Linked DNA regions of Drosophila melanogaster. The main gene of each other region encodes a partner of the protein of the gene in region 4 in a complex. Each region holds a gene or a part of one and is shown on either strand. Other genes may lie near its edges.

What was found.
Region 1: mip120 (region 4) and E2f2 share a complex: the UniProt entries of both Drosophila melanogaster proteins name them as parts of the DREAM complex.
Region 2: mip120 (region 4) and HDAC1 share a complex: the UniProt entries of both Drosophila melanogaster proteins name them as parts of the DREAM complex.
Region 3: mip120 (region 4) and Dp share a complex: the UniProt entries of both Drosophila melanogaster proteins name them as parts of the DREAM complex.

Annotation. Positions count from the first base shown.
Region 1 is NT_033779.5:21,153,781-21,158,695, reverse strand, and holds E2f2 (E2F transcription factor 2), read left to right. Parts: upstream 1-1,946; 5' UTR 1,947-2,652; coding exon 2,653-2,952; intron 2,953-3,014; coding exon 3,015-3,124; intron 3,125-3,330; coding exon 3,331-3,589; intron 3,590-3,710; coding exon 3,711-4,050; intron 4,051-4,116; coding exon 4,117-4,220; 3' UTR 4,221-4,403; downstream 4,404-4,915. Other genes in the region: Coq3 (coenzyme Q3), read left to right, coding at 133-161, 216-392, 453-1,179; Mpp6 (M-phase phosphoprotein 6), read right to left, coding at 1,237-1,725. UniProt on the Drosophila melanogaster protein: Transcriptional repressor that binds to E2f sites and represses E2f-regulated target genes. Binding to E2f sites requires transcription factor Dp. Acts synergistically with Rbf2 to antagonize E2f1-mediated transcriptional activation.
Region 2 is NT_037436.4:4,625,050-4,629,999, forward strand, and holds HDAC1 (histone deacetylase 1), read left to right. Parts: upstream 1-1,684; 5' UTR 1,685-1,890; coding exon 1,891-1,933; intron 1,934-2,370; coding exon 2,371-2,483; intron 2,484-2,561; coding exon 2,562-3,807; intron 3,808-3,902; coding exon 3,903-4,066; 3' UTR 4,067-4,418; downstream 4,419-4,950. Other genes in the region: axo (axotactin), read right to left, coding at 4,767-4,950. UniProt on the Drosophila melanogaster protein: Catalyzes the deacetylation of lysine residues on the N-terminal part of the core histones (H2A, H2B, H3 and H4).
Region 3 is NT_033778.4:13,220,501-13,228,249, forward strand, and holds Dp (DP transcription factor), read left to right. Parts: upstream 1-1,932; 5' UTR 1,933-2,545; coding exon 2,546-2,612; intron 2,613-3,090; exon of another isoform or gene 3,091-3,160; intron 3,161-3,674; exon of another isoform or gene 3,675-3,962; intron 3,963-4,821; exon of another isoform or gene 4,822-4,911; coding exon of another isoform or gene 4,912-4,966; coding exon 4,967-5,124; intron 5,125-5,190; coding exon 5,191-5,251; intron 5,252-5,308; coding exon 5,309-5,438; intron 5,439-5,501; coding exon 5,502-5,835; intron 5,836-5,903; coding exon 5,904-6,139; intron 6,140-6,199; coding exon 6,200-6,282; intron 6,283-6,345; coding exon 6,346-6,429; intron 6,430-6,485; coding exon 6,486-6,670; 3' UTR 6,671-7,245; downstream 7,246-7,749. Other genes in the region: CG17059 (uncharacterized protein), read left to right, coding at 266-403; Fsn (F-box synaptic protein), read right to left, coding at 782-876, 940-1,304, 1,362-1,669. UniProt on the Drosophila melanogaster protein: Component of the DREAM complex, a multiprotein complex that can both act as a transcription activator or repressor depending on the context. In follicle cells, the complex plays a central role in the site-specific DNA replication at the chorion loci.
Region 4 is NT_033778.4:13,508,010-13,513,653, forward strand, and holds mip120 (Myb-interacting protein 120), read left to right. Parts: upstream 1-1,608; 5' UTR 1,609-1,687; coding exon 1,688-1,718; intron 1,719-1,779; coding exon 1,780-3,227; intron 3,228-3,285; coding exon 3,286-4,199; intron 4,200-4,287; coding exon 4,288-4,427; intron 4,428-4,494; coding exon 4,495-4,820; 3' UTR 4,821-5,103; downstream 5,104-5,644. Other genes in the region: mEFTu1 (mitochondrial translation elongation factor Tu 1), read left to right, coding at 1-1,204. UniProt on the Drosophila melanogaster protein: Component of the DREAM complex, a multiprotein complex that can both act as a transcription activator or repressor depending on the context. In follicle cells, the complex plays a central role in the site-specific DNA replication at the chorion loci.

The DNA.
Region 1 (4,915 bases), on a different chromosome or scaffold from region 4:
AAATAATAGTTATTGTTTAATATTCAAGAATTGTCAATCCCCCTTAATGCACCTGGCTACGCCCATGCTTTCGCCGGGCAGCAAAACAAAGTCAGCTGTTTTTGTTTATCAACGTTTGTTTTTCTCGCAAAAATGATGCGAAATGCCTTGTTAGTAAGCGGGTAAGTCAAAAAATAGACTGCAAAAGTAGATTACATTACAGTTTTGCATTCCAGCAAACTGAGACATTTGCTATCCTGTTCTATCGGGCGAAATTCGACTAGAAGCAGCAGCACAGCGAAGTCGTTGGATGCCGGCACCCAAAAGGAAGTGCGGCACCATGAGAATCACGCCTCGGAGTGGTGGAATCAAAATGGAACCATGGGTGCTCTACATGCCCTGAATGAGATTAGGTAAGCTATACAGATTTGATGTTCCAAAGGTTTATAGCTAAGTTCCTTTCCACCTTTCAGGGTTCCCTTTATCAGAGATGGCATCGTTTCGCGTGGCACTGTGAAGCCAGGTTACGTAAATACCACCAAAGTGTTGTTGGGTCAAAATATTCTGGAGGTCGGATGTGGCGGAGGATTGCTTACGGAACACTTGGCGCGCCTGGGTGCCCAGGTGGCTGGCATAGATCTTGGCGAGAAGTTAATAGAAGCTGCTCGCGAGCATCTCAAATGCTCCAGTCCGGAGTTGGCCAGCAATGTGGTGTACAAAATTGAGCCGGTGGATCAGCATGCCAAGGCCAATTGCGAATGCTATGATGCGGTGATAGTGTCTGAAGTTCTGGAGCACGTCAAAGATAAAGTGTCCCTGCTGGAGGCCAGTGTACGCAGCCTAAAGCCTGGAGGATCCATCTTTATCACCACTTTGAACAAAACCATACCCAGTTGGTTCGGTGGCGTGTTACTCAGCGAGTATGTTCTCAATCTGGTGCCCAGGGGAACGCACCACTGGGACAAAATGATTTCGCCCTTGGACGTTCAGCGCATCTTGGATACGAGTAAGTTTATCTCAGGCTTTATATTCAGATTAGGCTATTCTTTATTCTCTCGTTCATCTGCAGTGAACTGTCAGACGGTGTTGGTAAATGGAAGCACCTACGACTTTTGGAGCAACACCTGGCGATGGATCAACAACAACCAGATGTGCTACGCCTTGCAGGCGGTGAAACAAGCACAGCGCGAGTACAATTGAATTCGTATATTTATTTAACTAAAAGCTAAGTCACGAGTGTAACAACTAAGTAGTAAACTATTCGTCACCCGAGCGTGGTTTCTTAAAGTACTGCTTCTTCATGGCATGCGGACTATCACTATCTCCGCCGATTTGCTTCCTTTTAAAGTCCTTTTTGGTGTTAAACTTCTTGCTCATGCTGCCGGAGACCGTGGGCGCCTTGTTGGCATAATAAGCCTTTACCATGTCTTGGTCGGATACCTCCTTGGGCTGCTCCGGCCTTGTGCGGCCCTGCTTTTCCGCCAGATCCTGCTCCATGAGAAGTTCTAGCTCCGGATTCATGCCGCGGAAACTGAGGCGTCCGTCTATCAGGCCGGCGCATATCGAGTAGCTGGACTCCACCACAAAATTCGAGGTGGAATTGAGCATCTTCTGGTTGATCTCGTTGGAGTACAGTGCCCTGCTCTGCTCATCGTCTGCCTCCTTTTCCACTTTAACTTTTGTGCGCTGCATGAACTTCATGTCCAGGACACCACGCGAAAGTCTCGGCTTTGATTTGGATGGCATTTTCCTTATTTATTTTTGAATCTAATATAGTAGAAGTCCTTTGAGTTTAAAAACTAGGGCGAAACCATCAGGCACATTTAATTTTTTTCAAAAGCAGAATGACCGAGCACAACAAATGGGGAAAGCCAGTGCTGCAAATCATCGTTCAGCCTAGCTAGAAAACGTGGCGCGCCCTCGTGTTTATGCGATGTTTAAAGTAAATATTTAAATTACTGTTGAAAGTTAAAACAATCCTTCGTTATCAAGTTGATCTTTTTAAAATTTTAAATTCACCCTACTGACAAACAAGCTCAACTCCATCTTCATGGGCACTCTTAAGAAAACTTCCAGCTGTGCTATACATGCTCTGTAAACGATCAAGACTAGCACAGGCGCCTTCAAAGGGTTAATGCTTTTAATTTGAAACCTAAAAAAGACCCAATTTCATTTAAAAGTTGTCGCCAATATTATCGGACAATAAACCTTAACGAATGGCTAAATATTATGGAGTACTAAAATAATTATTATTTATTCGTGATGATACATTTGAAGACCAAGTAGAAAACATTGGATGATCTGTGTGTTGGACTGCAGACTAAACTAAATACAGAATTTAAATGAAAATTAATTGAAATTAAAGATCAAAATATTAAAAATGTTTACCTGTTTAAAATATAGTGTTGAAATGTGCGCAAGCATCGATTAATCGATTTACTATCGTCGTGGCAGCGTCGCTTTGCCACACTGCGCAGTGCGCACGAAGAATAGAGGGAGAATGAAAAAAATGACATAAATGGCGGAAAGCAAACCTAGCGCCAACATTCGTATTTTCGTTTAATTTTCGCTCCAAAGTGCAATTAATTCCGGCTTCTTGATCGCTGCATATTGAGTGCAGCCACGCAAAGAGTTACAAGGACAGGAGTATAGTCATCGAGTCGATTGCGGACCATGTACAAGCGCAAAACCGCGAGTATTGTTAAAAGAGACAGCTCCGCAGCGGGCACCACCTCCTCGGCTATGATGATGAAGGTGGATTCGGCTGAGACTTCGGTCCGGTCGCAGAGCTACGAGTCTACACCCGTTAGCATGGACACATCACCGGATCCTCCAACGCCAATCAAGTCTCCGTCGAATTCACAATCGCAATCGCAGCCTGGACAACAGCGCTCCGTGGGCTCACTGGTCCTGCTCACACAGAAGTTTGTGGATCTCGTGAAGGCCAACGAAGGATCCATCGACCTGAAAGCGGTACTAACACGGCCAAGCATTAAGTACTCTACCTTAACATCGTCCAAATTTCCCCTCTGCAGGCAACCAAAATCTTGGACGTACAGAAGCGCCGAATATACGATATTACCAATGTTTTAGAGGGCATTGGACTAATTGATAAGGGCAGACACTGCTCCCTAGTGCGCTGGCGGTAAGAGCCCCTTACATTTTATGAAACATTTTAGTTAGAACTAAAAATGTTAGTGACAACAAAATTAAACAAAATGGGGTGGAAGTCGCCCTTTAGCACTTAATACTTAATACAGTACAAACAGGTGGAATTTACTTTGATCATCTTCAAAGTATGATTCCACATAAATATTTCTTGATAAATTATTGATAATGTGCATTTTCCAGCGGAGGGGGCTTTAACAATGCCAAGGACCAAGAGAACTACGACCTGGCACGTAGCCGGACTAATCATTTGAAAATGTTGGAGGATGACCTAGACAGGCAACTGGAGTATGCACAGCGCAATCTGCGCTACGTTATGCAGGATCCCTCGAATAGGTCGTATGCATATGTGACACGTGATGATCTGCTGGACATCTTTGGAGATGATTCCGTATTCACAATACCTAATTATGACGAGGAAGTAGATATCAAGCGTAATCATGTAGGTATCTTACCAGTCGGAGCTCTTTAAACTAGCTTTCGAGGTTTCCCATTTCTTTCAACGAAGAAATATCTAAATTTATCGTATAATATGGGATTCAAACGAAACATTGTTTTTGTAGTACGAGCTGGCCGTGTCGCTGGACAATGGCAGCGCAATTGACATTCGCCTGGTGACGAACCAAGGAAAGAGTACTACAAATCCGCACGATGTGGATGGGTTCTTTGACTATCACCGTCTGGACACGCCCTCACCCTCGACGTCGTCGCACTCCAGCGAGGATGGTAACGCTCCAGCATGCGCGGGGAACGTGATCACCGACGAGCACGGTTACTCGTGCAATCCCGGGATGAAAGATGAGATGAAACTTTTGGAGAACGAGCTGACGGCCAAGATAATCTTCCAAAATTATCTGTCCGGTCATTCGCTGCGGCGATTTTATCCCGATGATCCGAATCTAGGTTTGTCTTCTTATCTTGCCAATTTAAAAGACCCCCTGTTTAACTTGATGCTGTCCGATGTTGCAGAAAACCCGCCGCTGCTGCAGCTGAATCCTCCGCAGGAAGACTTCAACTTTGCGTTAAAAAGCGACGAAGGTATTTGCGAGCTGTTTGATGTTCAGTGCTCCTAACTGTGGAAGGGGATGTACACCTTAGGACTATAGCTACACTGCAACTGGCCGCGTGCATTGTGCAAATATTTATGATTAGTACAATTTTGACTTTGGATTTCTCTATATCGTCTAGAAATTTTTAATTAGTGTAATACCTTGTAATTTCGCAAATAACAGCAAAACCAATAAATTCGTAAATGCACACATTGTAGGTTGTGTATTTTTTTGTTTTAGGTAACTTCCGTAAATGTCGTGGAATTATTTGGTCGTGTATGTGGAAAGTGCCAAGGAAGGTTGGAAAGATTTATAGGTTTGTTTTAATTTGGTCTAGAAAATCTATGATGCCTTGTTAAGCGTTTATGTTTACGTTTTTAGAGAGATGGTTGATGTCTTGGTATTTTTCCAGGGCTGGAAAGTGTTGTACTTGGAACAGCTGATTAAGATGTGGGATACGTTATCGAAAACGTTACTTGGTCCCCTTATGTTATTGTAACATGTACTTTATTCAAAGTATAATTGTCGAATCCGTTATCGCTGAGAAGTCTGTTGATTCTTTTGATCTCTGTAGATTTAAGTTTACATTTGGGATTTTTAACCACGGTTTTTTCAATGTGTCTGGGAAAAGTGTGCAGTAGTCCCGCTGTTTGTTTGCAGCAAAATCTGCGTTTTCCCTTTCCCAGTCTTTTTGAATGATTTAAACCGAGACATCTTTA
Region 2 (4,950 bases), on a different chromosome or scaffold from region 4:
AAGCATAAATAGAAATGCAGCGGGAGAGCAAATCTAGCACTCTTTTTTTTAGTTTTTGTGTTTACTTATTTGCGTTCATTGGCTTCTCTTCCTAACGGCACTTCGGGCCAAGGAGGTGCGAATGAAAAGGAGCTATAATCCGGTTTTATATCGCACTTACCTTTTTTAATTAGAATAAATCAAAACTTTGCTGCGGATTCCGATTCTCTTTATTTGCTATCAAAAGCAAAGCGGACTTTACAGTTACGCCTGTTAAAGTTGTTGTTTTTACTGCACGGTCTGCGGGCCAAATAAAAACAACAAATACTATATTTTTGCTGTTTACTTTACGCCGAACTTCGACGCTAATTGGAAAAAGAGATGCGGGAAGGAGAGAGAGCAATGAAAACTATAATTAAACGCCAGCAAAAAAAGGTCTTAAATATCCTGCGGGCACAGCAACAACAACAGAGAAAAATACAGGAGGAAAACCAAGAGAAAGAAGGGGAGAAGTTAACATAAAGTAACAGAAAGTTGCGAAGGAGAGGCGTTGGTCTCCGAGGGGGAAAGGCATAGGAAAAGACTCTTAAGGGAAAAAGAGAAAAGTCGGAAAGAGAAAAGCTGCGCAGGATATTTTAGCCGCCTATGAAAAATGTTAATTTTGTTTTAAATGTTCACTGCGGGTTTCATATGTTTTTTCTTGCATTATTGGCCACTTCGCTTTGTCACTTTACTTCGGTTTTAATTTTTCCACTTCTTCATTCGCCCAGTGAGTGTGTGCGTGCGAGGGAGATGGAGCGAGAGAGCGTGTTTGTGTTTCCACTGCAACTCCATTCTTCTTTCTCTTTTTTCACACACACACACAGGGCACACACGCACACTTGCACATGGGGGAGTTGGAAACTTACGCGTCGCCGTTTTATTAATTTTATTCAATTAACAATCGCCTCTAATTCAGCAACTCCAAAACACTACAAAATCTCGTTGTACTTGAGCACTATTGTTTGTCGATAAGAAGCCGCCGAAAAACGCCGACCGAGGAGGAAAATCACCCGCGCTGGAAAATCGCGTCCGAGTCGTTCAACGGTGAATTTTAGAGTGAGAAGGAAAATCGTGGGAAACTGCGGTGGATTTTAGAGCGAGATGGGTGATGCTCTGAAAGAGAGAGAGGGAATGCACCCTCTGGCGATGGGCCAAGTTCGATATTAGCATGGATTCCTATCGATTAATCGACTTAACATTATTTACCCCGGACTACAACCTATTACTTCTGTGTTTTTGTTTTTCTTAAATTATAATGAATCATTTATATTTGTATAGAAAATATTGAAATCAATTAGTTTATTCGAATGCTTAAACTTAAATGTTTTCCAACAACATCTCTAGTTCCAGCTTCAGACTCTGCAACGTGATCTTAGCCAATAAACTTTGCTTTATAAACTTATAATTGATCCTTGCTATTTTTCCAAAAAATATGTCGTGATATTTGATAATTTTTGATAAGTACATAGGTCTGATTGTTTATATATCTAATAAAAAATGACCACTCTGTATGAAGAGGGTAATCGTATTTCATATGTAAATTTATTAAATATATTTCTTTAATAAATAATTAAATATATTTGTTTGGTATTTTCGGTATTCATGCAGTTAGTATTAAAAGTATATTCTGCAGAGCCGGGAAGTGTGGATTTAAAAAAGTCCGCGGTCACACTGCCCATCTGCAGAGGTTTCCTCTTCGCGAATTTGTCTTGTGCGCTCCGATTTTGGCTATATAGTTGCGCCAAAGTGCCAAAAATCGGACCGGCACCAAAGTAAACCATCTTCTGAGCTCGCAAGTTCATCCGATCGACGAAGGATAGAAAAACATCGACTTTAAGGGGATTTAAGACCCGCCAACAGCACCGCAAAATGCAGTCTCACAGCAAAAAGCGCGTTTGTTACTACTACGACAGTAAGTTTTGAGCATTTAAATGGAAGTAAAAGGCCTACTAGATGGGTAATTTGTGTTTACAAAGTGCCAGCTAGGGTTACCATGTCGACTTTGTGTTTTTTCCGCATCCACTTAGCATCAGATGATAGCATTTTTGCAAATTTCAAGTTTTACGGCGACTGTACGAGCGCGTTCCGGTCCACAGCGCACTTTTTCCATACGACCGCAGTGCGTTTGTATGCGTTTGTGTGTGTATGTACCTGATGTCTATCTTCCTCTTCTGTGTGTTTTTGTTGCTTTTTCGTTCGGGGCGAAAGTGCTACTACTGCGGTCGTTCGGAAAAAGTGCTGCTCTCAGGCAGACGCCTCGCCGACAGTGGCCTTAAAATTTGTATTCCACATAGCGTGGCAAATAATTACTTTTTCAACGTGCTCATAATTGCGATTTTTGATCCATAGGCGACATTGGCAACTACTACTATGGCCAGGGTCATCCCATGAAGCCCCATCGCATACGCATGACCCACAACCTGCTGCTCAACTATGGGCTCTATCGAAAAATGGAAATATACGTGAGTTACTTTATTAATATGTGATGATAGATATATATATATATATGATAGATTTAAACGCGAATTTCTCTATTCTAGCGTCCCCATAAAGCCACTGCCGATGAGATGACCAAGTTCCACTCGGACGAGTACGTCCGGTTCTTGCGATCCATTCGGCCGGACAACATGTCGGAGTACAACAAGCAGATGCAGCGTTTCAATGTCGGCGAAGATTGTCCCGTCTTCGATGGACTATACGAGTTTTGCCAACTCTCCGCCGGAGGATCCGTAGCTGCGGCCGTAAAACTGAATAAGCAAGCCTCGGAGATCTGCATCAATTGGGGCGGTGGGCTGCATCACGCCAAAAAATCGGAAGCCTCGGGCTTCTGCTACGTCAACGACATTGTTCTGGGAATTCTGGAACTGCTTAAATACCATCAGCGTGTTCTCTACATAGATATAGACGTCCATCACGGCGATGGCGTGGAGGAGGCGTTCTATACCACCGATCGTGTGATGACTGTCAGCTTCCACAAGTACGGAGAGTATTTCCCGGGCACTGGCGATCTGCGAGACATTGGCGCCGGCAAGGGAAAGTACTATGCGGTGAATATACCCCTGCGTGATGGCATGGATGATGATGCGTACGAGAGCATATTTGTGCCCATTATCAGCAAGGTGATGGAAACATTCCAGCCGGCAGCCGTGGTGTTGCAGTGTGGCGCCGATTCGCTGACTGGCGATCGGTTAGGCTGCTTCAATCTCACCGTCAAGGGTCACGGCAAGTGCGTGGAGTTCGTGAAGAAATATAACCTGCCATTCCTGATGGTCGGCGGTGGTGGTTATACCATTCGTAATGTATCCCGCTGCTGGACCTATGAGACCTCCGTTGCACTGGCCGTGGAGATAGCCAACGAACTGCCCTACAACGATTACTTCGAGTACTTTGGGCCCGATTTTAAGCTGCACATTAGTCCCAGCAATATGACGAATCAGAATACATCCGAGTACCTGGAGAAGATCAAGAACCGTCTGTTCGAGAACCTGCGCATGCTGCCTCACGCTCCGGGCGTTCAAATCCAAGCGATTCCCGAGGATGCCATCAACGATGAGTCCGACGACGAGGACAAGGTCGACAAGGATGATCGCCTGCCGCAGAGCGACAAGGACAAGCGCATTGTGCCCGAGAACGAGTACTCCGATTCGGAGGATGAGGGCGAAGGCGGTCGCAGGGATAACCGTTCGTACAAGGGTCAGCGGAAGCGGCCGCGTCTCGACAAGGACACCAACAGCAACAAGGCATCCTCAGAGACGTCCAGCGAGATCAAGGACGAAAAGGAAAAGGGTGAGTGATTAACCATTAGTCATTTTAATTGGTTCTACTGACCACTTGTAATTTGTATTTAAACCCTACTAACTAAACCATTATGCTGTTTTCAGGCGACGGAGCTGATGGCGAGGAATCGACGGCGTCTAATACCAATAGCAACAACAACAGTAACAACAAGAGCGATAATGATGCCGGAGCGACAGCTAATGCCGGATCCGGTTCGGGATCAGGTTCCGGTGCCGGGGCCAAGGGCGCCAAGGAGAACAACATTTGACGTGGCGGCCGCAATTGGTTATAGAAGCCAATTAAGCGACCGCCGAAGTACAAGCCACCGGATTTCACCTAGTGTCGTCTCATTCCCGCGCCCCCCTTCACCAACACGCCCCGTAGCCATGTCCAGGGCTTTTTCTACACGCCCCTACACAAGGTCCCACTGCGATCGGCTCCTTTTTTTCAGTGGGAATATTCCCAAAGGGGGATAAATCAGTAATCAGTGGGCGGAAACACAATTTATTTTAAGATCGAAAGTGTATAGCTAAGCAAAAAGTGAATGCATACTTACAAGCGATCCAATGTGGCGAATAACGCAGAAACTAATTTAATCAAATAAAAATATTTATACATTTATTGATTTTAATTTTAATGGAAAATTAATTGAGCTGCTATCTTTTAAATATTTTCTTTTGGAAGTATTCGATTTCCCATTTTTAGCAAAATACTTACGTTTCCACATTTAGGTTTCTTAGTAACAAACTAAACGATAATTTGTAACAATTTATTTGTATTTTAACTAGGACTAGCTAACAATTTTTAAGATTTTAACTTTGAGTTTCTAAGTTGAGGAGATTGTGGCATTTGGGGGGGAGAAAAGGATCCACTGGGGGTTTTCCCGCCCACCAGTTGACAGTTTGTGACTAGTCGGCGAGGTTTTCCACGGATTGCAGTGGGCGGAGAACTGGAAACTGGCTGCGGTGCTAATCCAGCGATAATATCGAGTCGATGCTGGTGCGATTACTGCGCGGCTGCAGACGCGGTCCACCCAAGTAACTAATTGGATTCGCGAACTGGCGCTGCAGCAGTGAGTTTTCCAGGAAAAGCGTCGGCGGCGGGGGTGGGCGCGTCACTTTCGAGTGATGCTGTCGCATCGGCACCAATGGG
Region 3 (7,749 bases), 290 kb from region 4:
AACTTTGTTTATCCTTGTAGCCAACATTGCAATTAAAAGTAAACAACAATCAGATAAATCTACAATCTTCTTTAGAAGTAGTGTTTCCCCGCAAAACAGGAATATGTATCTTTCATTTCATCTTTTGGCGACTTTATTTATTATATTAATTGTTCCCATGTCCAGAGTTTTCATCAATGCTCATGGCAATATCCTACATAAATGTTAAAAACCTGCCACCATACGCTCATATACATATGTATATATTTATATTGTATTCCTTTAGTCCGGCGGAGCCACAGGAATGATGATGGACCACCTGCCCTCCAACGATAAGCACGTCCACGCTGACTTCTACAATGATTTTGATGATCTGTTCGATGAAGACAACTGGGCCAAGATGAAAACCGATGGGAAACAGTAGAGGCCACCACGCAATAAATGGATTGAAAGATTTGTATTCGCGACTCGTTCTTCTGTCTGTAATTTTACTTGCACAATCAGCGATCATTGGTGTATAAAAAATTGCTTCAACTATTGTTTAATCGCTTATTATATTCATTTGGTTCGTATAACTAAGGTAAATTGCCATGTGAGATAGTGCCGAGGTGGATATGAACTTTGGCTTAGCGTAAATCAACAAAATGCATAATTTTGTACAAAAAAACGAAACTATTAACTAAATTTATCGAACTGAGTTTCAGGTGGAATGAAGCAATCATAATTGAGATAAATACAAATGTACACAATAACCTAATGGATCCGTGGAAGTTGTTAACCAAGTTGTAGGCCCTCTGCAAAGCTATCCGTCCAACGGCGTGCCCAGATAGACCATCGAGACCTCGGTATTGCCGTAGACAGCGGATACTGTGGGATAGAGCTTTTTGTCCGGCAGGCCTGCAAGGTGAAAGTGCATAGAATCGTTCGTATCGCTGGTATCACCAAACTATTTCCCCTTACCCCGGAAGGCCACACCGAGGAACTCGTAGTTCTTCTCGAACGACAAGGTGTTGTCCTCGCAGTCGAGAATGACGCGTATCCGCTCGCCCACTTGGTACTTGGGAGCATTGTTCAGCAGCGGGTAACTGCCCTGCATGTCGCCGTTGTGCAGCAGGTGGTTCTCGACCAGATTCCAGCCCCAGCTCTGGTCGTCGGAGCCGAGCAGAGCCACATAGCCGTGACACTGTAGAGCCGCCTCCTTGGTAGATATGCCGATGACGGCCACAGTGCCCAGCGGTCCCTCCCATATCACCTCCCAGGTGTGACGACCGTGGCGGAATCCTATCTTGCCCCGGGCCGCGTCTGTGCTCTGCGCCACGGGATTGCTGCGGGAATGGAGGGACATACATATAACGCCGACTCAAGCAAACCGAATACCTTACCGATGCAGGGTGAATCCGTTCGGCTTAATGTACACATTCCTCGAACAGTCGTTGGGGCTCCAGGCGTGAAAATAGGCCCGCAGCTTCGTCTTGTACGTGGAGACGGAGGCCAGCAGGTCCGATTTGAGGGACTCCTTGGGCAGCTTGTTCAGGCAGTGCCAGCGCCAGACGTCGCTGTTCTCGTCGTTGAGGAAGTGGTACCAACTTTTGCACACCTGCGAGCAATGACTGAGGTCGTCCAGCTCCAGGTAGGAGAAGATTACCTCCAGCACATTGTAATTGCACAGCGCCGCCACCGGATCGACCATTGTGTGCGTGTGCGCTCCGCTGCTGGGCTCGTGTAGATAGCTGCTTGGATTTACCCGTTCCTGTTGATTGTCATTTTCCCACACCAACCAAATGGGTAAAAATAAAACTCGAAAACTTTAATATTCTGCGATTCAGGGTGACCGTTGGCGGGCTGCCAGCGAAATACCGCTCACCTGGACAAAGTGGCAACTTTGTTTACATCCGCGACCAGTGTGCGATAGCGACTGTCGCACACAGCTGCTTACAACACTGCGTAAATTGATGCGTAAATTGGCGCGCACTGTCTGCCATTTCATTCGCACCCGCACACAGCCTGCTTTGCCTTTCCCACATGAAAACGAAAAGCAGCCACTTGGTGGAAATTTTGTGACCATTTTGTTGCGCTTAGAAATTGCGGAAATTCGCGCTGCTGCCAGCCGTTCGATAGCTAAAAGTTCGCCGTATCTTTTGCCACTAATCTCGTGAAAATCCGTGCGCCGAAACACCGCGAAAAAGGCCACCGAAAAAGGGCCGCCGCTGTGAGTGTGTGTGAGCAGCAGAAAAGAAAAAAAAAATGCCCTGCCGCTGGAAGTGAAAAATGCGCTCGCCATTTTGACTTGGGCGACACTTATTTTTTGTACAAGTGCGCTCCCCATTGCAGTCGTCGTCGTCGTGGTCGTGGTCCGCATCCGGATTTGCACACGTGCCCCAGTCCGTGGGTGCAGTACGTCCGCCTATCCACCGCCGTCGCCCATTCCAGCTCCATTTGCCCCCCCCTAGCACACACGTTGCGGCGAAACGGCACGTAGCACTGCTCTTTCCTTTTGTTTTTGGCGGTCCACCTGGTGAGCGGTAAGCGACAACAACAAGATCACTTGATCTCCGGCGGCCGAAAAATGGCGCATTCGACGGGCGGTACGGTGAAGACCGATGAGGTGAACTTCTTCTTCCGGAACGAGCACGGTAAGTGGGCGGAAGCGGTGTCCTGTAATAGGAGTTTTGCTCACGATGGAGTGAGTGCACTCCCTCCCTCCGCTATAGTCCATCATACACACACACCCCCTCATACACAAGGCGACCCACACAGATACGCTACAAAGTTGCATGGGCAGCGTAAAACGCCATCTTTGCTTTTTCGGGTTTCTTTTGCCTACCGTATTCATCGTTTGATACGCTTTGCGGGGGGAGGCCAGCGAGACGAACCGAAAAGAGTGCTAGAAATTGGCAAAAAGTAATAATAAAAGACAGAGACCCCCGCGAAATAACAACTTATATCAGTAAGCCACCCAGACCCGCCCCCTTCTGCCATCTACGCCCATCGCCCAGTTGGCGCGCTTGCTCACACACACACATGCACGCACACTAGCACGCGCGCGTTTTCTCCTACTTATTTTTTTGTTTTTTCATTGGGCGGCGAACAGCTGATTACTTCGCCGCCACTGCGAATTCGCTTTGAGGATTTAGCATGAAGTGAAGTAGTGATAAATCGTTGATTTCAGCTACGTACAAAGGTATTATTGTGAGGGACATTGTAAATTCAACTTGAAACAAATGTATCTGAACAGCGTGACATTCTGCCATATCTTAGCGAGTGGGAGAGAGACGGGGCGCACCGCCAAGAGAGATCGGGGTGAGAGAAAAAAGGCCACAGCAAGAACAACACTGCCACACACACACACACGTAGTCAGCCACGAAGCTGAAGCCCAAAACAGGCGAGAGCAAATAGGTGTAAGCGCTGTACACGTGTGTAGTTGTCCGTCGCCGCGTTTATGCGGTATTTACCGTACCCCGCAGTACTGAACTGATTAACTTCATGAGTTTCATTCAGTCATGATAGCAAAGAAGAAGATATGGATAGCTTTATGACGTGCTTTTATTTGTATAAAATGTCTCTTTAATCCCCAATATGTAAAGAAATAGTAATTTTTAATCAGTGATATTGCTCTTTGTTGAATATGAAGCGCGCATAAACGCTTTATATAGACCAGTATATCAGCCTGTTCGTACCAGCGAGTTACCTGGTTTGTAGTTATCTGCTGGTTGACTGGTGCAGACGAACTATGGAACTGCTTCTCCAATTGTAGGGATTATGGTTTCACCTGCATTTTGGGACTCTGCCTAGGCATTGTAGGATAACTCCCGCCGAGTTTAAGACTCCCATCGTTACCATCTGGTGGGACAGTCCGGCATTTTCTCGCATGTGTCCGCTGCTCAAGCCCCCGTGAGTCTGACTCACTTGCAGGTGTGTGTGCGTGTGATGTGCCCGTGGGTGCGGGAGAGTTGGCAGGTATTTTTAGCGCTCGACCCTTTGCGGTTTTTGTTTTGGGCATCTTCATCTCCATTATGCGTTGTCCACCTGCTTTGTTGTTATGATTATGCAAATATTGGGCTGGCGACAGGTGAACAATTATTACATCGAATGAATACCATCTAAAACTGGAAATGTTTAGAAAAGCCGGTTGGATACGAAACCCAGGGGTGCCAACCGAGTAGTCTTAATGGGTTTCCGGTTAATTCTGCCTTGATATTATAGTTGCTTTGGAATGGAAGTGCTCATAGTGTTGGATATACCAAATTAGCAGTAAATAAAATTTACTAAAGAACGCAACTAAGAACAGTGATTTGAAATGTCACGCTTTTAAAAATACTAACCGGTATCATATTTGCTCTTACTTTTTCTTCTGCTTAGGCTTCTGCTTGATTTATTGTCTTTCCAGTTAAAAGTCGAATTGTGAGTTTTAATGGGAAACCTATAATCGCACTATATTTAATTCAAATTATATTCGAACTTGGATTAATCCGACTAATGACTGATCAACAATCTTGTCGAGTCACGAACTTTAGTATCGAACCATCTCTAATTGGTTAAGGGTCACGTGGTTGCCATCACTAATGTCCAGGCGATCTGGTTTCGGGTTGTTTATGCTTCTGCATTTGTATCCTTGTCACACCGATTGAAACACACGCACACTCACCACCAGCACGTGAGTGTGGGTATACCTTGTGTGTATGTGTGTATGCACCCCAATCTTAATGTGCCGCTCGCCTTTCGTTGTTGTATTCCGACTCCAGTGCGCTTAACTCGCTCCATTCCATTCTCTTCACTTCGCTGCGATGAATTCACCGTATATACGGCGAAAAAACGCATCGTTGATAGTACCACACATACATTCAGTTACTCGCTAACACTCTGACACCCATGTGTGTGTCTGTGGAGTACATGCAGTTTTGTTATCAACGACGGCATTTCAGTCGCGTGTTATGTGTATATCGGAAACTAAGGAACCTCCGCATCTTCCAATTTCCAATTCTGCAGGACAAATATCCAAAATGCTGAAGCCGGCCCAGAACAAGTCCGAAATGGAGGGAGGTAAGCCCGTGGCGGTGGTCTACGCCACCGGCTCATCCGCGCGCAACAGCGGAAGTGCTAGCGGCATCGGCAACGTGGGACGCATGGGCGCCTTTAGTCAGATGGTAAGTGTAGAACGCGGTTGCTCACGTTGCTTACACTTAGTACCTAACGATCCGATTTAAACGCAGGGCAGTCAAGGGCAGTTTATACGACTGCAGGACAACGGACTGTCCATTCCAAAAACAGAAGGTAAGCGTGTGATCCTCCTCTTACCACTTCAATTAATCATTGTATCCCTTATTGTAGCAGGTACCACCTACACCACCGTTTCGGCGCAAAAGACTTCGGGTGCTGGCAGTGGTCATTACGACTTGCCCTTGAAGGGAGATCGCTATGTGAAGTTTACACCAAATCCCATAAAAATGAAATCAAAACTGTAAGTAGTAACCAACCGAGCAGGATCGAGGAGGATACTATAGCTTTGTTCCTTCCCAAACAGCCATGCCATTCAGAGCAACTCGTTGCACTCCATGTCGGCCTCCTCATCGTCCGTTCAAAGGAAACGCAAGCCGGACAAGGCAGGCAAAGGTTTGCGCCATTTCTCGATGAAGGTATGCGAAAAGGTGGAGGAGAAGGGCAAGACCACCTACAATGAGGTGGCCGACGACCTGGTCAGCGAGGAGATGAAGAACAATGCGTACGACAACAACTGTGATCAAAAGAATATCCGACGTCGTGTCTACGATGCGCTCAACGTACTGATGGCAATCAATGTTATTTCCAAGGACAAGAAGGAGATTCGCTGGATAGGACTGCCCGCAAATTCGACAGAGGTGGGACTTGTGTTCACCAAAGGCACCAAACTCCATGCTAATGTGATTATTTTGTCCCCTTTTCATAGACATTTCTGGCCCTGGAAGAGGAAAACTGTCAGCGCCGCGAGCGAATAAAACAGAAAAACGAAATGTTGCGCGAAATGATCATGCAGCATGTGGCGTTCAAGGGATTGGTCGAGCGGAACAAGCGAAACGAGAGCCAAGGCGTGGTGCCTTCCCCGAATGCCTCGATCCAGCTACCGTTCATCATCGTGAACACGCACAAGTCCACGAAAATCAACTGCAGTGTGACCAACGACAAGTGAGCGCTCACACTCAGTCGGAGTATGGCTTGTATTCTATTTCCCATATATCGTTTCAGGTCCGAATACATATTCAAGTTCGACAAAACCTTCGAAATGCACGATGACATTGAGGTGCTCAAGCGTATGGGATTCCTATTGGGTGAGTGTGTTTAATATTGGGCATTCGGGATAAGAAATTCATTGCATATGCTATTACCTGCAGGACTGGATAAGGGCGAATGCACGCCGGAGAACATTGAACGAGTCAAGTCGTGGGTGCCTCCAAACCTTGCCAAATACGTAGAAGGTATGACCATATATTGTCTTCCAATTCACTGTTATTAAACTTTATATTTGGCCCAGCCTACGGCACCGGCAAGACTGGCGAAAATATGTACGAATCGGATGACGAGGACAATGAGTTCAACGGGTACCTGGAGTCGGCCAATGAGTCCCAGGGCTTTGCACAACACTCGGCACAACACACCACCGATGGCGAGTTCAAGCTGGAGATGGATGATGACGAGCTGGACGACGACATTGATTGAGCTGATGGTGCCGCCGTCATTGTGCCAGCCATGGCCGATGCGGACACGGATGCGGATGGAGGAGCAGATGCTGATGCGGAGGACACGTTTAGTTTTACGTTTATCAACGCTTTGTTAGGTTTGCCACGGCCCCCTGGTTAGTCAGGAGCCGCACTCCACTCCAATCCACTCCACACCCAATCCGACCCACCCACACAATTGGTTTTGTTTACTTCTCAATGAGACTCTTAAATTATATATATACAATCTCGCAGCGACGAGAAAGATTCGGTAGTTCATGTATGTAAGTGTAGTTTGCATACACAGTTTGTAATTGTATCATTGAAGATTTATGTTTAAGCTGAAACGTTTTTAAAATAATTTGTCTAGTTAAGGAGAACGCGTTTTTAGTTCAAACCACAATTCACATAAGGCAATACCGCGAAACCACATGCCCAGACTAATGTTCACTCTCTAATTAGTTGTTATCAGTCTCCCTTTTCCCCCCAATGGCCTTTTCATGTTTGGGTAGGCTTAAGCAAAAGCGATAATGTTATGGGTAATTGTCTCTTAATAATATAATATACCAAAACTGTACACAACCGCAGTGAAATGCAATTATTTTTAGAATGCCACGAGCAGTTTGAACTGCAGACAAGAGCGAACATATGAAATATGTTTAATTTGCTAACACCCTTTGACAAAGCGATTCTTTTAGATTCTCAAAACCCAAATTTTAAGTTGACAAGGGAGTGCAGATAGTTGCGAAATAATCAACCTACCTAATTAGTAATAACAATTAAAACACGATATACATTTTCAGAATTTGTATTTATATTATTGAACCCTCTTCAAGTGAATACAACAGCATGCAAATACAAATTAGTAGTCAAGTATAAGGCGTTAACAATTAAGTGTCGAGCATGTAGTTGTGTAATGAAACGAAATAATTGCATGGATGGAAAGGAAATTGCAAACAAGTGAGACGAAATCGAACCGAGTGACAAGTTAATAAAGAAGTAATTTGCATATTGTAAAATATGATAAACAGAGAATTTAATCTTTTCCTCCCTTCTGCTTGCACCCAACCCAAGCAATAA
Region 4 (5,644 bases):
CCATGTGGATCACGGCAAGACCACGCTCACGGCGGCCATTACCAAGGTCCTGGCCGACAAGCAGCTGGCCGAGAGCAAGAAGTACAATGAAATCGACAATGCGCCCGAGGAGAAGGCTCGTGGTATTACCATCAATGTAGCCCACGTGGAGTACCAGACGGAGACGCGTCACTACGGCCACACAGATTGTCCGGGACATGCCGATTATATTAAGAACATGATCACCGGCACAGCCCAGATGGATGGCGCCATTCTCGTTGTGGCCGCCACCGATGGCGCCATGCCCCAAACTCGCGAGCATATGCTGCTAGCCAAGCAGATCGGCATTGATCACATCGTGGTGTTCATCAACAAGGTGGACGCCGCCGATGAGGAGATGGTCGACCTGGTGGAGATGGAGATCCGAGAGCTGCTTACCGAGATGGGCTATGATGGTGACAAGATCCCTGTGGTAAAGGGCTCGGCGCTGTGCGCCCTCGAGGACAAGAGTCCCGAGATCGGCAAGGAGGCGATCCTGAAACTGCTCCAGGAGGTGGATAGCTTCATCCCCACGCCTGTGCGCGAGCTGGACAAGCCCTTCCTGCTGCCTGTTGAGAATGTGTATTCGATTCCCGGACGCGGCACCGTCGTCACTGGTCGCCTGGAGCGCGGAGTGGTCAAGAAGGGCATGGAGTGCGAGTTCGTGGGCTATAACAAGGTGCTGAAGTCGACGGTGACGGGCGTGGAGATGTTCCACCAGATTCTGGAGGAGGCGCAAGCCGGTGATCAGCTGGGAGCTCTGGTGCGCGGCGTTAAGCGAGATGACATCAAGCGCGGCATGGTCATGTGCAAGCCGGGCAGTGTGAAGGCACTCGATCAGCTGGAGGCCCAGGTGTACATCCTGTCCAAGGATGAAGGCGGTCGCACAAAGCCCTTCATGTCCTTCATCCAACTGCAGATGTTCTCCCGCACCTGGGACTGTGCCGTGCAGGTGCAGATTCCCGATAAGGAGATGGTCATGCCCGGCGAAGACACCAAGCTCATTCTGCGCCTCATCCGGCCAATGGTCCTGGAGCAGGGACAACGCTTCACGCTGCGTGACGGAAACCTGACCCTGGGCACTGGTGTCGTCACCAGCACTCTGCCCCCATTGACTGAATCGCAGCGATCCGAGTTGACGGAGGGCAAGAAGGCGCGCGAGAAGAAGGTGGCGGCTAAGAAGTAGATCCCCGGAACGCCGTCAGTCATTAACTAAAATCATATTCTTAAGCGATTTTTATGCATATTGTATAAGTTGTTGGCGCTCCAATCACAATCGAGTAAAATATAAACAAACACCTATGGACAACGAAGTTTTAAAACTTGGAATATTAGTAGGGATCTTAAAATTGATTTAAAATAGTACGGCTTTTAAGTATTACTGTTGTTGCCTGACATTTCGGCATTTCAAAGGACTATTTGTTATATAAAGTTATGTAAGTAAGCATTGATCATTGATAAAGGGCAATATTTAATTTAGGCGCCACTCATCGATTGCTTATCGCTCTATGTTAACGGCATCCGAAATAGAGTGGTATCGAAATGGAGCCGATAAAATCAAACAAGGCCGATAATAACCTGACTACGACATTTTACAACACTGCTGCAACCGCCTTGAACGCAGCTGATGATAAAGAACATTTTGAAATTGATTTGAAAATTGGCAAAAATGAGTACCTACCGCGTAGACTACTTGACCGGTAGATTCAAGCACCGTAAACGTTTGTTTGCAAAGTAATTAATAACTTATTTTGTCCGCAGATTCCCTAGACGACACGGAACCATTGCCGGAGCTGAGTTTTGAAGACTTTTTGGAGCCAACGTCGGAGAAGAGTTCCCAGCACATGGAAATCGAAGCTCTGGACTCAGAGGAAGACAATATCGGCGGTGAAGATCTGGCCGATCCGGCCAACGATTCCCTGAACACGCCGCAGTTTAAGAAGAACGTGGTCCACATACTGGAGGACAAGAGGTTAAACTCGTCCGGACTAACCGTTTTGAAGTCGCACGCCATTAAGATGGTGACTGCCGGAGGTACTCCTCCGGCCAAGGCGCAAGTTACAGACGTAAAGATACTAAACAAATTGAAACCAATACCCAGCAGTACGCTAAAGATCGGTAGCACGACCATAGCGACCAAATCCACACCGGGCAGCATAACCAAGACTTTGGGCAACTTGACCCAGATTAGGACGAAAGATGGCCAAGTCATCTTTGTCCAGAAGTCTGTTCCTGGAACACAAAGCAGCACTGCGGTGACAGGGTCACCAAGCGGTGGAATAAGACGCCTCGTGGCGCCTTCTGGTATCCAGAAGGCAGTGCTTTCTAAGGGCGTGACCATGGCAAGCACGGGTCTGGTCAAGGCGGCTGTTCCTGCCAAAGCAAGCACCTCGGTACCCGGCTCAGCCATAACCTTAAAGGGCATCCAACCGCTGGCCGGAGGCACTGCGAAGGCGTCGACTTCCAGCACGACGGCAACCACATCCCCATCTTTGGCACAGCCCAACAAAATTCAGGTGGTGCGCACTGCCGATGGCAAAATTATCAAGATCAATCAGGCTGGTCCCTCACTGCTGGTGAACGCCAAACAGGGAACTGGGACCACAGTCACACCAGGAGGTTCTGCCGCCACTTCTGTCAAACTATCTCCCTCCACGGGAAATGTGGTGCTCAACAAGCCCGTTGGCCAGGTAGTGGTGAGAACAGAAACTCCTGTAAAAACGGCGACGGGCTCCGTTGCCAGTGCATCCGCAACACCGGGCAAGATGTTGGTTCAAAGTGGCGGCAAACAGATTCTTGTATCCAACAAGAACATCATTAAGCTGTCGCCGAATGCGAGTGCCACCAGTTCGACAACCCACACGACGGGCGGACAGACACCTTCCACCTCGAGCGGATTGCACGCTATTCAGCTGCCTGGCAAGGGAGGAATACAATATGTACGTGTCCTGAACAACAATAAGAGTGCCGCCGGAACAAGTGCAACAGCCTCAATCCCGAAAACAGTGCAAACTCAGAAGATCACTGTGGTGCGGCCACCGGCTGCTACTGGTGTTCCTGCCACATCTACTACAACATCCGCAGCAGCAGCTTCACCTGCAGCCGCATCGAAGGCAAACCTTGCCATGGGCAACACTAACAAGATTGTAATGCGATCAATGGGTGGCAGCATTGTGCCGCTGCCTTCCGTGCAGACGTTGGTCTCAAAGGTTGGTACTTGTGTTGGTACAAATTTATTTCATTCTAACTCAATTTCCATCTTTAAAGCGTGCGCTGGGCGCCATCTCCAACGCTTCAAAACCAGCCAGTGCGGCGAGCAGCAGCGCCACGCCGAGTGCCAGCCAGGAGTTGCCACGCAAACACCGTCTTACTGATCTCAATGTGCAGCTAAAGCAATCGGCCTCGGTCAGCAGTGAAGCTAGCGACAGCAGCGATGCGGGTCCTGAGGCCAAAAAGCCGCGTTACGTTATTACCATGCAGCAAGGATCACAGAAGGCAGCTTCCCAGCCAGTTCAGAAACTAATTAATCGGACAGCGAATGTACAGCGTGTGGTGTCTAGCAGTACAAGTCCCAGTTCCAACTCCACAAAGAAAATCTACAACTATGTTCAACCGACTGGAAGCAATGGGGCCAAGTACATGATCTGTAACTCGGGTGTGCCCCAATCATCGACGAGTGCCATGCGACGGGGATACACTGGATATGTGGAAAACAAGACGCGACGCCCGCCACCCATTTCCCCGCAACAGCACCGCTTTAAGCAGATGGGTCCCCAGCAGCAGTCCAAGCACCAGCAACTTCAAGCGCAGGCCAAGCAACGGATTAGACAGCAGCAACTGCCTACCGAACAATCGACGCCGATCAAGGTCGAGCCAAAGTTGCCGACACTGCCTCCGGGGGTGAAGGCCAATGTACCTGCCAAGCCGCTCTTTGAAGTCCTAAAACCTCCAGCAACCGCGGCAGCAGCCGGAGCCGTCGATCCATTGGGCGGCATGACTTCGCGGCGAAAGCACTGCAACTGCAGCAAGTCGCAGTGTCTAAAGCTTTACTGCGATTGCTTTGCAAACGGCGAGTTTTGTCAGGACTGCACCTGCAAGGATTGCTTTAACAATCTGGACTACGAAGTGGAGCGGGAGCGTGCTATTCGCAGCTGCCTCGATCGTAACCCCAGCGCCTTTAAGTAAGTTTATTTGAAAGGAAAAGCTTATGAGGTCTATCCTATGTTTCTAAAGATGCTAATCACAACTACTTTTTTTTTTTTTAAACAGACCCAAAATTACGGCACCCAATTCAGGTGATATGCGTCTGCATAACAAAGGTTGCAACTGCAAAAGATCGGGCTGCCTCAAGAACTATTGTGAGTGCTATGAGGCAAAGATTCCCTGCTCCAGCATATGTAAATGCGTTGGTAAGTGAACTGATAAATCTGTTTTATCTATGATCAAACTAACTGAATCAATCAACTTATTATTTAGGGTGTCGAAACATGGAAGACCGTCCGGACGTGGACATGGACTCTCTGGACGGATTGATGGGTGTCGAGGGTCAGAAAAAGGACAAAGCTAAAAACAAGCAATTGAACGAGAATCGCGCAAATATATATTTTACGGACGATGTCATTGAGGCGACCATCATGTGCATGATATCGCGGATTGTGATGCACGAGAAACAGAATGTGGCCGTGGAGGACATGGAGCGCGAGGTTATGGAGGAAATGGGCGAAAGTCTGACACAGATCATCGCTTTTGCCAAGGAAAAGCAAGAAACCTCTCAGATAGACGAGTCCAAGCCTTCTTCTTAGGCATGCAAATATAGTCACACATTAATTAGTTTATAAGTTCAAAGAGTTCTTGACCTTTTCTCAATCATATTCTAATTTTGGCTTTCTAAAAGTTGACCTTAAAGTAAAGTGTTTACCCTATTTAAATAATTTAAACACAAAATGTATATATCATACATAGCAAATTTCAGATATAAGGCTATTTTAATTTTTGGCCGAGCATTGTAATTGTGTTGTAAACTTTTCCCTTGGATTGAATGTAAATAATTTAGATACCTAATAAAGTTTAATGACCATTGAACACAAATGAAAAGAGACGTTGTGTTGTTTTGTAGCTTGTTTATTCACCAACAACTTCAGTTACATATTTGTATTTTGCATTTGCATTGTTTCAAATTTATTGATGGGCGAGTATATTAAACTCAACGCAATTTAGTTTGGTTTTTCACAATATCGGTATCAGCTTAGTTAGCAATATCTCTATAAAATAAACACATGTCGAATGACTACAGTATAGGTAATGCATATATTAGTTGATTGTATTGATAGTAGGTATTTAGTTTTGTATATATGTAGTTTTTTTTGTTTAAGTATAGTTATATATTCTACTTGGTCACCATTGGTATGTATAAATAGCATATAAGTATGTTTGTGTTCTGGTTTCTCCCGGTTCTCACCCTATAAACATGGCATGGCATGACATGAGTACATATGTGTGTATGTATGTAGTTTCAAGGTTTGAGTAAAAATGTGATAATCGTTTAAGGACTATAGTACATATACGTGGTTAGTAATGCTAATATATATATATATATATATGCCCTGTTATACATATTTTTCATACA